Macaca fascicularis: one gene and its partners. The protein of the gene in region 1 purifies or fractionates together with the protein of each later gene. This does not show direct contact. Links are inferred from orthologs where the notes say so. Each region holds a gene or a part of one and is shown in the gene's direction. Other genes may lie near its edges.

What was found. Proteins that work in one complex are often made in the same cells at the same time.
Region 2: the proteins of TOM1 (region 1) and ZFYVE16 purify together in Homo sapiens (affinity purification with western blotting; 3 studies listed by BioGRID and IntAct, with this or other methods). This does not show direct contact. The link is inferred for Macaca fascicularis from reciprocal best matches to the Homo sapiens genes TOM1 and ZFYVE16.
Region 3: the proteins of TOM1 (region 1) and CLTC purify together in Homo sapiens (affinity purification with western blotting, with the first as the bait; 3 studies listed by BioGRID). This does not show direct contact. The link is inferred for Macaca fascicularis from reciprocal best matches to the Homo sapiens genes TOM1 and CLTC.

What each region holds. Positions count from the first base shown.
Region 1 is NC_088384.1:16,368,517-16,372,783, reverse strand, and holds the start of TOM1 (target of Myb1 membrane trafficking protein), read left to right. Parts: upstream 1-1,373; 5' UTR 1,374-1,408; coding exon 1,409-1,460; intron 1,461-4,267.
Region 2 is NC_088380.1:84,381,479-84,385,247, forward strand, and holds part of ZFYVE16 (zinc finger FYVE domain-containing protein 16), read left to right. Parts: intron 1-2,553; coding exon 2,554-2,715; intron 2,716-3,769.
Region 3 is NC_088390.1:47,024,890-47,028,658, reverse strand, and holds part of CLTC (clathrin heavy chain 1), read left to right. Parts: coding exon 1-113; intron 114-310; coding exon 311-503; intron 504-944; coding exon 945-1,102; intron 1,103-1,302; coding exon 1,303-1,467; intron 1,468-1,579; coding exon 1,580-1,687; intron 1,688-1,765; coding exon 1,766-1,933; intron 1,934-2,057; coding exon 2,058-2,207; intron 2,208-2,295; coding exon 2,296-2,427; intron 2,428-2,545; coding exon 2,546-2,656; intron 2,657-3,731; coding exon 3,732-3,769. UniProt on the Homo sapiens protein: Clathrin is the major protein of the polyhedral coat of coated pits and vesicles. Two different adapter protein complexes link the clathrin lattice either to the plasma membrane or to the trans-Golgi network.

The sequences.
Region 1 (4,267 bases):
GCCTCCCCGGTTCAGGCCATTCTCCTGCCTCTGCCTCTGGAGTAACTGGGACTACAGACGCCCGCCACCACGCCTGGCTGATTTTTTCTATTTTTTAGTAGAGACGGGGTTTCACCGTGTTAGCCAGGATAGTCTCAATCTCCTGACCTCGTGATCTGCCCGCCTCGGCCTCCCAGAGTACTGGGATTACAGGCGTGAGCCACCGCGCCTTGCTTAATTTAGGTTTTCTATCATCCAAAATTTGTGCAGTCAATTTACTAGTCTTTCAGATTTAAAAACCACAAACATTACAATAAATACTAAAGCACCCACAGTAGCCAGACTACTAAGGCCATGGTTATTGTATTTTTGGAGTACATGTCAGAAGAAAAGGTCATAACCCATAGATAGGTTATCTAGTGTGTGGGGTCAGCAGACACACCACACACAGCCAGGAAGGCTGAAGAGATTAGTCTCAACGCTGGGAAAGGCCTTTGAGATTCTTAGCTTGGGGTCCACGGTTGTACTTCAGGGACGCCAGAAACTCCCTGAGGTTATAAGCAAAATTCTATCGCTGCTTTTTTTCTTCAGAAAGCCTCATGGCTTTTGTCAAATTCTCCAAGGAGACTGTGACCTAAATAAAATATTTTTTTAAAATGCTTACGAGTCCTTGATCTAATTCCAGTATCTAGAGAAAATGGGAGCTGTGTTTGGCTCACACAGTAAATTTATGGCAGAGATGGGTATCAAAGCCCCACTCGTGACTACATCTACGCTTTCTGCCATCCTGGGCGCTAGAGGGAATTGCGCTGCAATTCATTCAATTATTTCTCAGTCTCAGTAGATGACAAACCCCTTGCCCTTACCTCTGATTGAAGGTAAGATAATTTGGGCTGCAAGCAGGGTGCATCTTGGAGCGGGGAGACCTTGACATCAAACAGGAAGAGTCCTATCGGGGCAAGGAGACAGCAGCCCAGAGAGGCTGTCACCCAGAGTAGGTGTGCAGTCACAGTGAGGTCCCAAGGACTAAGGTCTGTGACACTAAGAGTCTCGGCTTCTGTGTAATCTCACCCAAGTCACTTCCCTGGTCTACGACCCAGTTTCCCAAATGTGTAAAGGGTCCTTTAGACCCCGCCCTAAAAGGTCAGGGGCGTGGCTTAAAGAGGACCGCGCTTCCCGGGCCCCGCCCCCAGGCTCTACGTCGTGCGTGACGCCCGCCGCCGCCTAGGAAGCGACGATGAGGTCATCGCCCTCCGCCTCGGGGGCGGGACCCTGGCGCGTCAGGGCGGGGCCTGTGGTCCAGCTCCGCTCTGCCACCGCTCCGCCCACGCCTCCTCGCCGGCCTTCGGGTGCGTCACGTGACGGGTTGGCGGCGCTGGCGGTTGCTGTCAGCTGATTCCCGGGGTTGGTGGCAGCGGCAGTAGCAGCAATGGACTTTCTCCTGGGGAACCCGTTCAGCTCTCCAGTGGGACAGCGCATCGGTGAGTCCCTGGAGCCCCCCACAGCTCCGCCCCGGTGCTCCGCACCCAGCTTCGGTCCCCTGGGAAGCCTCCGGGTGCCTAGTCACTGAGGCAGGGAGGGCAATGAGGCTGGCGTGTAGCTCTCCGACTTGGCCCCGCCCAGCTTTCCTCCCACTCTTGATTGACAAGAACTTGGGCCATTAGGAAGCCTTGGCTTGTGATAGATGTATACGACAGCCAGTAGATAAGGAGAGAGGGCGGGTCCGGATGCCCACCTCGCAGCCAATGTGTGTCTGCTGGGGTCCCGAATCGAGGGAGAAAGTTTTCGGGGTTAAAGGGACTGCGTGGTTGGCAGTGGCTGGGCCGCTGTGCTGGGTCCCGCCGGCTGGGCTTTGGCCAGCTCCTTTCTGGCTCTCCGGGCTCTCCGGACATGGACACCTGAGAAGGGCTAGAAGTCCATTCTCCCAGGACCGCGAAGCCTGGGGCTTGGCGTCTTGGGGGCGACTGGCCAGAGGGGACCCAGCGCCAGACAGCCCGCGGCCAGGCCTCACAGACCCGGATCTCAGGACGTGTCCGCCTGGGCTCTTATCTCGACCCAGCCTCAAATGGACCCGCACAGACTCTGAGAACCTGAGCAGAAAGTGGTCGGAGAAACCCTCCGGGTCAGCCCACCTCGGTGCTCCGTAGGTGGGGCAGCCCGGCGCTCGAGCCAAGCCGAGCCCAGGGCACCTGGCGCCTGAGTGCTGGTCCGTGGTTCTTTGCACCCTGGTGACAGGATACTTATAGTTCTATGACGCAGCCTCCCTGGGCGGAGGTTTCCTCACCTGTAATTGGCGGGTAATAATGGTCCTTACCTCCGTGGGCTTGTTGTGAAAATTAAATTCCTTAATAAATGTGAAATACTTAGAACAATGCCTGGTACGTGGCCAGTGCCATATAAAAAAACAGTTGTGATATTTATTAGCATTGGGCTGGGCGCAGTGGCTCCCGACTGTAATCCCAGCACTTTGGGAAGCCAAGGCGGGCAGATCGCTTGAGCCCAGGAGTTCGAGACCAGCCTGGGCAACATGGCGAGACCCCCGTCTCTACCAAAAAAAAAAAAAAAATACAGAAATTAGCCGGGCGTGGTGGTGTGTGCCTGTGCTCCCAGCCACTCGGTAGGCAGAGCTGGGAGGATTGGTTGCACCTGGGAGGTCAGGGCTGCGTGAGCCCTGATGGCGCCACTGTACTCCAGCCTGGACGACGCAGGGAGATCCTATCTCTTGAAATACATACATACACACACCCACATTATATATAAATATACACATACATACATGTACATATACATACACATACATACATGTATATATTTACACACCCACATTGTTCCTGAGATACCACCAAGTGAAGGTTAGGAATCCCTGGAAATCACTGGGCAGTAGGTCTCATAAGTGCTCGTTCTTGGACACCAACACCGTGAGAACCGACATGCCTTGACCCAAACAGCCACACTTCTCCAGAGGATGGTCTGGGTGTTCCCCATTCTTGCATGAAGAAACCATCGCATTTCCGTGAAATCACTCTTTATCTTTTTTGATGATGACTTTTGGTCTTAAGTCCATACTGGGAAAACTTTAAGACGAGACATTCTTTCCATTCTTACTGTCTTGCCAAACCTCACGAAAGCTTGTCGACCCGGCTCTGTGTTGTAATCGCCACCGTGGCTGTTGGTGGCTCTTCCGAGGGTTTTGTAATCAGTGCTCTCCAAGGGGGGAGGTGGCAGTCCAGGATTTACACACCAGGAAGCTCCTGAACCAGGGAGAGGAACTGCCCTCTCAAAGGACCCCCGACCTCCCCTAGACACACCCACCCCACAGTGAGTCATGGTTTTTTGGAGCTGAGAAAAGAAAGCAGCTCTCCTCTCATCTTTATTTCTCTGACTACAGAAACCACTGCTTTTATCACATGCCAAGTTTAAGACTTACTACTTAAAAATAAACAAGTAAATAAAAGACCCGGCTTCAAAGTCAGCCGCATACTCTTAAGGCTTTCTGGAAAGCTCACCTGGGTTCTGGATTTCAGCTAGTCAAAGCAAGCTTCTCTTCTTACCCTGAAGGGTTGCCTTTCTTGGGCAAGAAATACTCCCGTGCAAAGAGAATGCTATTAAATCATCATACCTTAGAGCACAAATAGAATTTTACAGCTAAAAGAGCTTTGCCTTTGGAATTTTCTAACCCAGTGGTTCTCAGCAGCATTCCTAGGAAGGCGTGTTAAAGCAAATGATATCTGGGCCCCAACTCCAGTTTCTGACCCTCTAGGTCTGCAGTGGGACTCTAGCATGTGAAAATCTTTTTTTTTTTTTTTTTTCTTTTTTTTTGAGACGGAGTTTCGCTGTCATTGCCCAGGCTGGAGTGCAATGGTACAGTCTTGGTTCACTGCAACCTCCGCCTCCCGGGTTCAAGCGATTCTCCTGCCTCAGCTTCCCAAGTAGCTGGGATTACAGGCATGCGCCATCACACCCAGCTAATTTTGTATTTTTAATAGAGACGGGGTTTCTCCATGTTGGCCAGGCTGGTCTCAAACTCCTGACCTCAGGTGATCCACCCACCTTAGCCTCCCAAAGTGCTGGAATTACAGGCATAAGCCACCGCGTCCAGCCTAGAATGTGAATTTCTGGCAAGTTCCCAGGTAATGCTAATGCTGTTCCAGCCCATCGCCTTCGTTTCACACTGGCAGAGACTGAGATCCAGAGAGGGGAAAGTGGAGGCTGTGACTCACCCAAGACCACCGTGAACTGACAGCGAAACTGAGCCATTGAAATTTAAACCAAAGCTGAAGAGGCTCCA
Region 2 (3,769 bases), on another chromosome or scaffold:
ATATCTTTTTTTGCTTTCTCAACTTTAGAATTTTGCATATGTACACTTCCCATTATTTCTTTGGCTCTCTAATTAGCTACAATTATTAGCAGTAGTCCTGGTGGTCTTTGAGTTCTCACAGGTTGTGTGTGTGGGGGGGTGTGTGTGTGTGTTGTGTTTTTTTCCCCAAGTCCATGTTTATTCTTTTGAGTACCACTTGGCATTTTCAAAGATTCGTTGACAGTTTAATTCCTGGCAAATATTACTTGGGCCTTTTTTGACCAGACCTGTGCACTACCTCAGGCACTGCTTCCTGTTAGCCAGGGGGAATGAATACCTGATAATAATTTGTTTTTCTCTTTTGAATGAAGATAACTTTTTTCAGCAATTCTTCAAAAAGCTCTGATGTGAGTCTGTTAGCCTGAGGTAAGCTGCTTTTCTCCCTGCTGTTGACCTCTGCTCTGGAAGATAACAAAGTGTAAATCTTTTTATGTTTCCATCTTACCGCCATTGTTTATGAAGAGGTCAGTTTAAGTGCTTATAGTTGTTTTGTTTTTTCTTATGCTGTTTCAGTAGCCTAGAAGATGACTGCTGGTGCTGTTAGCCAAGGCAATCTGCTAGAATTCAGAAATTTTAGAGCAAGCTCCCACATAATTATCTCCCCCATTAAAAAGAAATTAAACATCCATGAGGATTTGAAACGTTATTTATGTTGACAGGTCAGATTTTTGGGTGAGCATTCAGACATATTTTGACTCTAAGGGTCCAGGAGGGGAGAAGATATGATCATTAAAGAAATTCAGTAGAATACTGAAATCAAGCTTTGGTTTATCAAAGAAAATACTGTGGAATTAGTTTATTTAGTTATCTGTTTAAATTTATTCTATTTTGATATAGCATATAGTTTCATTTACGGTGCTATTTATTATTAATTTATATGCCACAGGAAAGCATAAATAAAAGTTAATATCAGCTTTAGGGTTGAAAATAATAGAAGTGATCATTTAAAATAATGATATCAAATGAGAAGAGAAAGATGGTTCATGGGTTGTGAGACACACTACGTGAAAGATTGGAAGAAAAAGATAATTTGAATAGAGATAGTAGATAATGAGAAAGCTGTCCTGAGATTATGTGAGTTTCAAGGAAGCGCACATGTGAATGTCAATAAGTAGATTTGAGGCAAGTTAGAAATTACTTTGAAATTGAGAGTAAGATGTTTGGACTTCACTTGGTTAATGGAAGCCATTTTATGAGTGCCATCATTCAGTGGCACTTGAGGAAGATTGTTTTAGCAGTGGCAACATTTATAGCAGATCAGTTTGGAGAAATGCTGAAGGGAGAGCTATCAATGTACCTTGTTTTTTGGATGAAGAATCACTCAGCAGTATTCAGGCACTATTCTGCATTCTGAAGCTCAAGCTGAGAGCAAAATAGAAGCCATATTCTCATGAAATTTATGAATGTATGTAGAGATGGATAGTAAACAAAAAGATATCAGATGGTGATACTACCTTCAATTAAAAAATTTTAAAAGTGTAAGAGTGATAGATAGTTAACAGATTAGTGGCAAAAGGAATTTTTTTTTTTGAGATGGAGTCTCACTCTGTCACTCAGGTTGGAGTATAATTGTGCGAACTTAGCTCTTTGCAGCCTCCATCTCCCAGGTTCAAGCAGTCCTCTCACCTCAGCCTCCCTAGTAGTTGGGACCACAGGCACACACTACCACGCCCAGCTGATTTTTTGTATTTGTGATAGAAATGGGGTTTCACCATGTTGCCCAGGCTGGTCTCAAAGCAATCCTGAGCTTAAGTGATCTACCCGCTTTAGCCTCCCAAAGTATTGGAATTATAAGCGTGAGCCACTGTGCCTGGCCTTAGGTAGTATTTTTTATAATGTGGTCAGAGTAAGGCTTTATGGTAATATGACATGTGAGCAGAGTCTTGAAGGAGGTGAGATAATAAAGCTGTGTGAGTATGAGAAGAACATTCTAGGCCAAGGGAATAATAGGAGCAAAGATTCTAAGCTGTAGGAGTACTTACTTGAAGAACAAGGAGGTCTGGGTGGCTGGACCATAGCGAGTGAGTGGCATTGTAGTGAGAGATGAGGTCAAACATGTAACTGGGAAAGTGGAGGAGGTAGGGATGAATTATGTTGGGTCTTGTGAGCCATTGTAACAACTTAAATTTTCACTTTAGTTAGCCATTAAAAGATTTTAAACAGAGGAATAATGAGATATGATTTATGTCTAAAAGAATCTCTCTAAACTGTGTTGGAAATAGACTCTAGGGGTACAAGGACGAAAACAGAGATAGTCATGTTAAATAAGGGTTATTCTCTGTGGATATCAAATATACACCTTAGATATAATATTGAAATAACTTATTGGTAGCTTATCAAAGTGGCATGCTGCCAACTCAGACAGTATCTTTGCCAAGTGCTACTTCTTTTTCTTGATTAGCCATTTCTTTCTTTCTCGTTACAACTTGAAAAATAGAATATTTATTGAAATTTACTTTGAAGTAAATTACAAAAACATCTGAGATTTTAACACTATTGTTTTCCCCTTTATAGCTCAGGCATTTGAAAGGATGATGAGTCCAACTGGTTCTAATCTTAAATCTAATCATTCCGACGAATGTACTATTGTCCAGCCTCCTCAGGAGAACCAGACGTCCAGTATACCTTCACCAACAACTTTGCCAGTCTCAGCACTTAAACAACCAAATGTTGAAGGTAATAGAAGAAAATGCTGTGTCTAAGACTAAAGATAAATTATCAAAATAGAAATTCTCTAATGTAGCCAGAAATTCTCTAATGTAGTCAGGAAAGAGAAACCAGATTAAATATCAAGAGGGATTTAATACAGGGAATTGGTTACACATGCAGGCTGGAAGACTGGAAGAGCAAAAAGGCTGTGCTCAAGTGCCTCAGCAATTAGTAACTGCAGGAAGCAACCACCACAACTGGAGTTTGGGGCTACAAAAGGGGAGAGGCTAGAGCTCAGTGTAGGAGCACCAGGAGGTGTTTGGATCGCAGATGTTGGAGTCAGAAGCCATGGTCACAGCACCATCAAGAGGCCTCATAGAGTTGGTGCTCAGATGACTAAAGTAGAGCTCCAGATTTGATGTTAGGAGTACTGAAAATCATGAGTCTAGCAGCTGTATCTAGCGGTGTTGCTGCTGCAAAGATCCTGGCAGGATCCAGAAACAAAGAATTCCTTCTCATTTCTTCCCACCTTATGGTCTCCCACCAGTGCCTGCTATTGGAAAAAGCTGACCAAAGCCAGTAACAAGAGTCTGGGAATTGCACTTTCCAGACTTCCAACCTGGCATCCAAGAGCCCAGTTTAGAGGGTGAGCTTGGGTTTGAGAGGCAATACGTAAATAATTGTTCTATCTCCTTTTCATTAAAAACCTATTTGTAGTTGTGTATTTTACCACAGTAATAATGTTTTTTAAATCTGTTTTTAAATCATTGAGTTATCTGCTCCTTTTTACAACCCGTCGTCAATTAGCATCTTGAGTAAGGCACATGTATGTCTTTAAATATGAATTATTAGTCTCTTACATGCTGGAAAAAAACCATAAATGTCAGATAAAGGCAAATTTGAATCCTTGTATTTTTGTGGACTTCAGTTTATTACTCAGTAACTGTTTTCCATTTATTATAATGAAATAAGGAGACTCAGCATTATATGGTTGTATATTATAGCCTAAAGATGAATAATTTGTGTTTGAAAATATGTGCATATTCTTATATTGATAACCCAAATGATTAAATTATAAAAA
Region 3 (3,769 bases), on another chromosome or scaffold:
GCTTGGATAATTATGATGCCCCAGATATTGCCAATATCGCCATCAGCAATGAGCTGTTTGAAGAAGCATTTGCCATTTTCCGGAAATTTGATGTCAATACTTCAGCAGTTCAGGTAAATCTTTAGATTACCTAAGTTGAATTACTAAATGTAATGTCTTCTACTCATTCAGTGTATGCACTGTCCTGTGAGGGTGGGCCTAATTTGTTCCTATGGCAATAGAAGAGCAATAAAATACTAACAGCTTAAATGTAATTGCTCTGGGTAGGATTGATTTTACTCTAACCCCAATTTCAAACTTGGGTACTTAGGTCTTAATTGAACATATTGGAAACTTGGATCGGGCATATGAGTTTGCTGAACGTTGCAATGAACCTGCGGTCTGGAGTCAACTTGCAAAAGCCCAGTTGCAGAAAGGAATGGTGAAAGAAGCCATTGATTCTTATATCAAAGCAGACGATCCTTCCTCCTACATGGAAGTTGTTCAGGCTGCCAATACTAGTGGTATGACTTCTTACCTTATGTATTGAGACCTCACAAAATGATTAAGCTAAGCATTAAGATATCTGTCTGTTCTGAATTGTAGAAGAGTTGGATACTGCATGGTTTCCTGTGAAAACTTTTAGTACTCCATCTTAGTCCAGATAAAAAGAGGCTGTATTTTGTGAATTTGTAAGTTCACAAAACTTACAAGTGGGGAAGATAAATTTTCTGTTTTTGAAGTCTCATAAAATCCTGATAATCCTCTAATCTTACAACTTTAAGGAAAAAGAGAATTCTTCTATTCATTTGGTCTTTGATAATACAGAAGTGAAATATTGCACAGTTTACATTTGTCATTATCCATGTTTCCTTGAAAAGGAAATGAGCAATTTTCATTTACTTGGGTGAAAGGTAAACTGGGATGTTAGTGTTTGGATATATTTTTTCTTTTTCTATACTTAGGAAACTGGGAAGAACTGGTGAAGTACTTGCAGATGGCCCGTAAGAAGGCTCGAGAGTCCTATGTGGAGACAGAATTGATATTTGCGCTGGCTAAAACAAACCGCCTTGCAGAGTTAGAAGAATTTATCAATGGACCAAATAATGCTCATATCCAACAAGTGGGTTTCCTTTTCAGATTTAAGAAAAACTAGTTGGGCTACTTGATTAGCTTGGTAGGATCAAAACATCATAACTGAAGAATTCCAAGGAAAAATCTACAGGAAAACAAATTATTTCTCAGTGTGAAGGTATGAATATGAAAAGAGGATTAAGCTCACACTAATATCTTACTGAATATGCGTTACCTTTTTTTTTCCAGGTTGGTGACCGTTGTTATGATGAAAAAATGTATGATGCTGCTAAGTTGTTGTACAATAATGTTTCCAATTTTGGACGTTTGGCATCTACCCTGGTTCACCTGGGTGAATATCAGGCAGCTGTTGATGGGGCTAGGAAAGCTAACAGTACTCGAACATGGAAAGAGGTAATCTAAACCCAAGTTTGAGTGAAGAATTAAAGAAACGCTCTGTAAACATTAGTTTAAACAACTAGCCATGTTTGCATTTGAGTTCACAGAAAGGAAATGTTTATTCTAGGTCTGCTTCGCCTGTGTAGATGGGAAAGAATTCCGTCTTGCTCAGATGTGTGGACTTCATATTGTTGTACACGCAGATGAATTAGAAGAACTTATCAACTACTATCAGGTAATTAACAAGAAACTTTTATATGACCTGAGATCTTTTACCATAGATACTCTTTAACTGCACATTTCTCTTGTTCAGGATCGTGGCTATTTTGAAGAGCTGATTACCATGTTGGAAGCAGCACTGGGACTTGAGCGAGCTCACATGGGAATGTTTACTGAATTAGCTATTCTATACTCTAAATTTAAGCCTCAGAAAATGAGGGAGCACCTGGAGCTGTTCTGGTCTAGAGTGAATATTCCCAAGGTAACCAGTCATTGTAACACAGTGAAGCAACTGTGTAGTTAAAACTAATACTTCAAAATATCTTATTCTTTTTAAGGCTGTTAGCTAGACTCATATCTAAAGCAATTAAGTCTTTCTTATGCAGGTGCTAAGAGCTGCAGAACAAGCTCATCTTTGGGCAGAACTGGTGTTTTTGTATGACAAGTATGAAGAATATGATAATGCCATAATTACCATGATGAATCATCCAACTGATGCCTGGAAAGAAGGGCAGTTCAAAGATATCATTACCAAGGTGTGTACTTTCTTCAGAAGATAAAGGATTCAGAAGGAGAAAGCTCATTAGGAAGTAACTGACTTATATATGGATTTTCCCATTATAGGTTGCCAATGTGGAACTATACTATAGAGCAATACAGTTCTATTTAGAATTCAAGCCTCTGTTGTTAAATGATTTGCTGATGGTGCTGTCTCCACGGTTGGATCACACTCGTGCAGTCAATTATTTCAGCAAGGTAAAGTAATAATTTTAAACCAAAGCTTCATAGCAAGGAATTAGGACATATTAGGATAACTTTTGTCCCTGGGACTTCAATAATGTGCTATATTTGTAACAAACTCTTTATTTTAAAGGTTAAACAGCTACCACTGGTGAAACCATATTTGCGTTCAGTTCAGAACCATAACAACAAATCTGTGAATGAATCATTAAACAACCTCTTTATTACAGAAGAAGATTATCAGGTAAAACCTTTTGATTCTTGCACATAATCTTAAGACTCATAAAGTTACATTTTCCCATTTTTCAAAAACGCCATTATCATTTAGGATTGTAAACAGTAGTTGCTTGCATTCCTAGGATCTAAATTTAGTAAGGTTTCAGGATTGATAAATCTTACTTCTAATTAAGTGCCAAGTTTTCAGAATTTTGCTCAGATCTTGTATAAGATACTGCTTTTGAAAAAAGATATGATTACTTTATCTCTAACATCTAGATTATAGGTAGAGTCAAAAATGTCTTTGATCACTTAACTAGTTCATAAAATTTATTTGATATTAACTATATTCACCATTTTTCTTTCCTACTGTTTTATTAGTATTTGTATAAACTTTATCTTACGAAGGATTTCGCATAAGCAAAAGTCAAGTAGAGTGAAGCTTAAGCTCCTTGCCTTTTTTTCTCTCTCTTGATTTTCTTTGAGGCTCCGTGCATGCAGATCTTACTGCTGCCATGCTGAGTTTTATCAGAAGTTTCTCTAGGGAATAAAATCTTGCCCTCCAGGCCAGGCGCGGTGGCTCACGCCTGTAATCCCAGCACTTTGGGAAGCCGAGGCGGGCAGATCATGATGTCAGGAGATCGAGACCATCCTGGCTACACAATGAAACCCCGTCTCTACTAAAATACAAAAAAAAATTAGCCGGGTGTGGTGGCACGTGCCTGTAGTCCCAGCTACCTGGCAGGCTGAGGCAGGAGAATCGCTTGAATGCTAGAGGCAGGTTGCAGTGAGCCATGATTGTGTCACCACTGCACTCCAGCCTGGGCAACAGAGGGAGACTCCATCTCAAAAAAAAAAAAAAACAAAACTTGCCCTCCAAATTAGAAATCTCGTCAGTTTCATAGCCGTATGTTAGTCCTTGATACTGAAATATCTTGGAGAAAATGTTATCTTTAGGTAAGGTGAAAAAACACCTTTTGATGCTTGAATCTAGGTGTCATACTACATGTTACCTACCATCTAAGGGGCTCATTGATCGAGGACGGAATATAATGTTAAACAAAATACTGATCTGGCATTTGGATGGCTTTTTTTTTTTTAAGGCTCTGCGAACATCAATAGATGCTTATGACAACTTTGA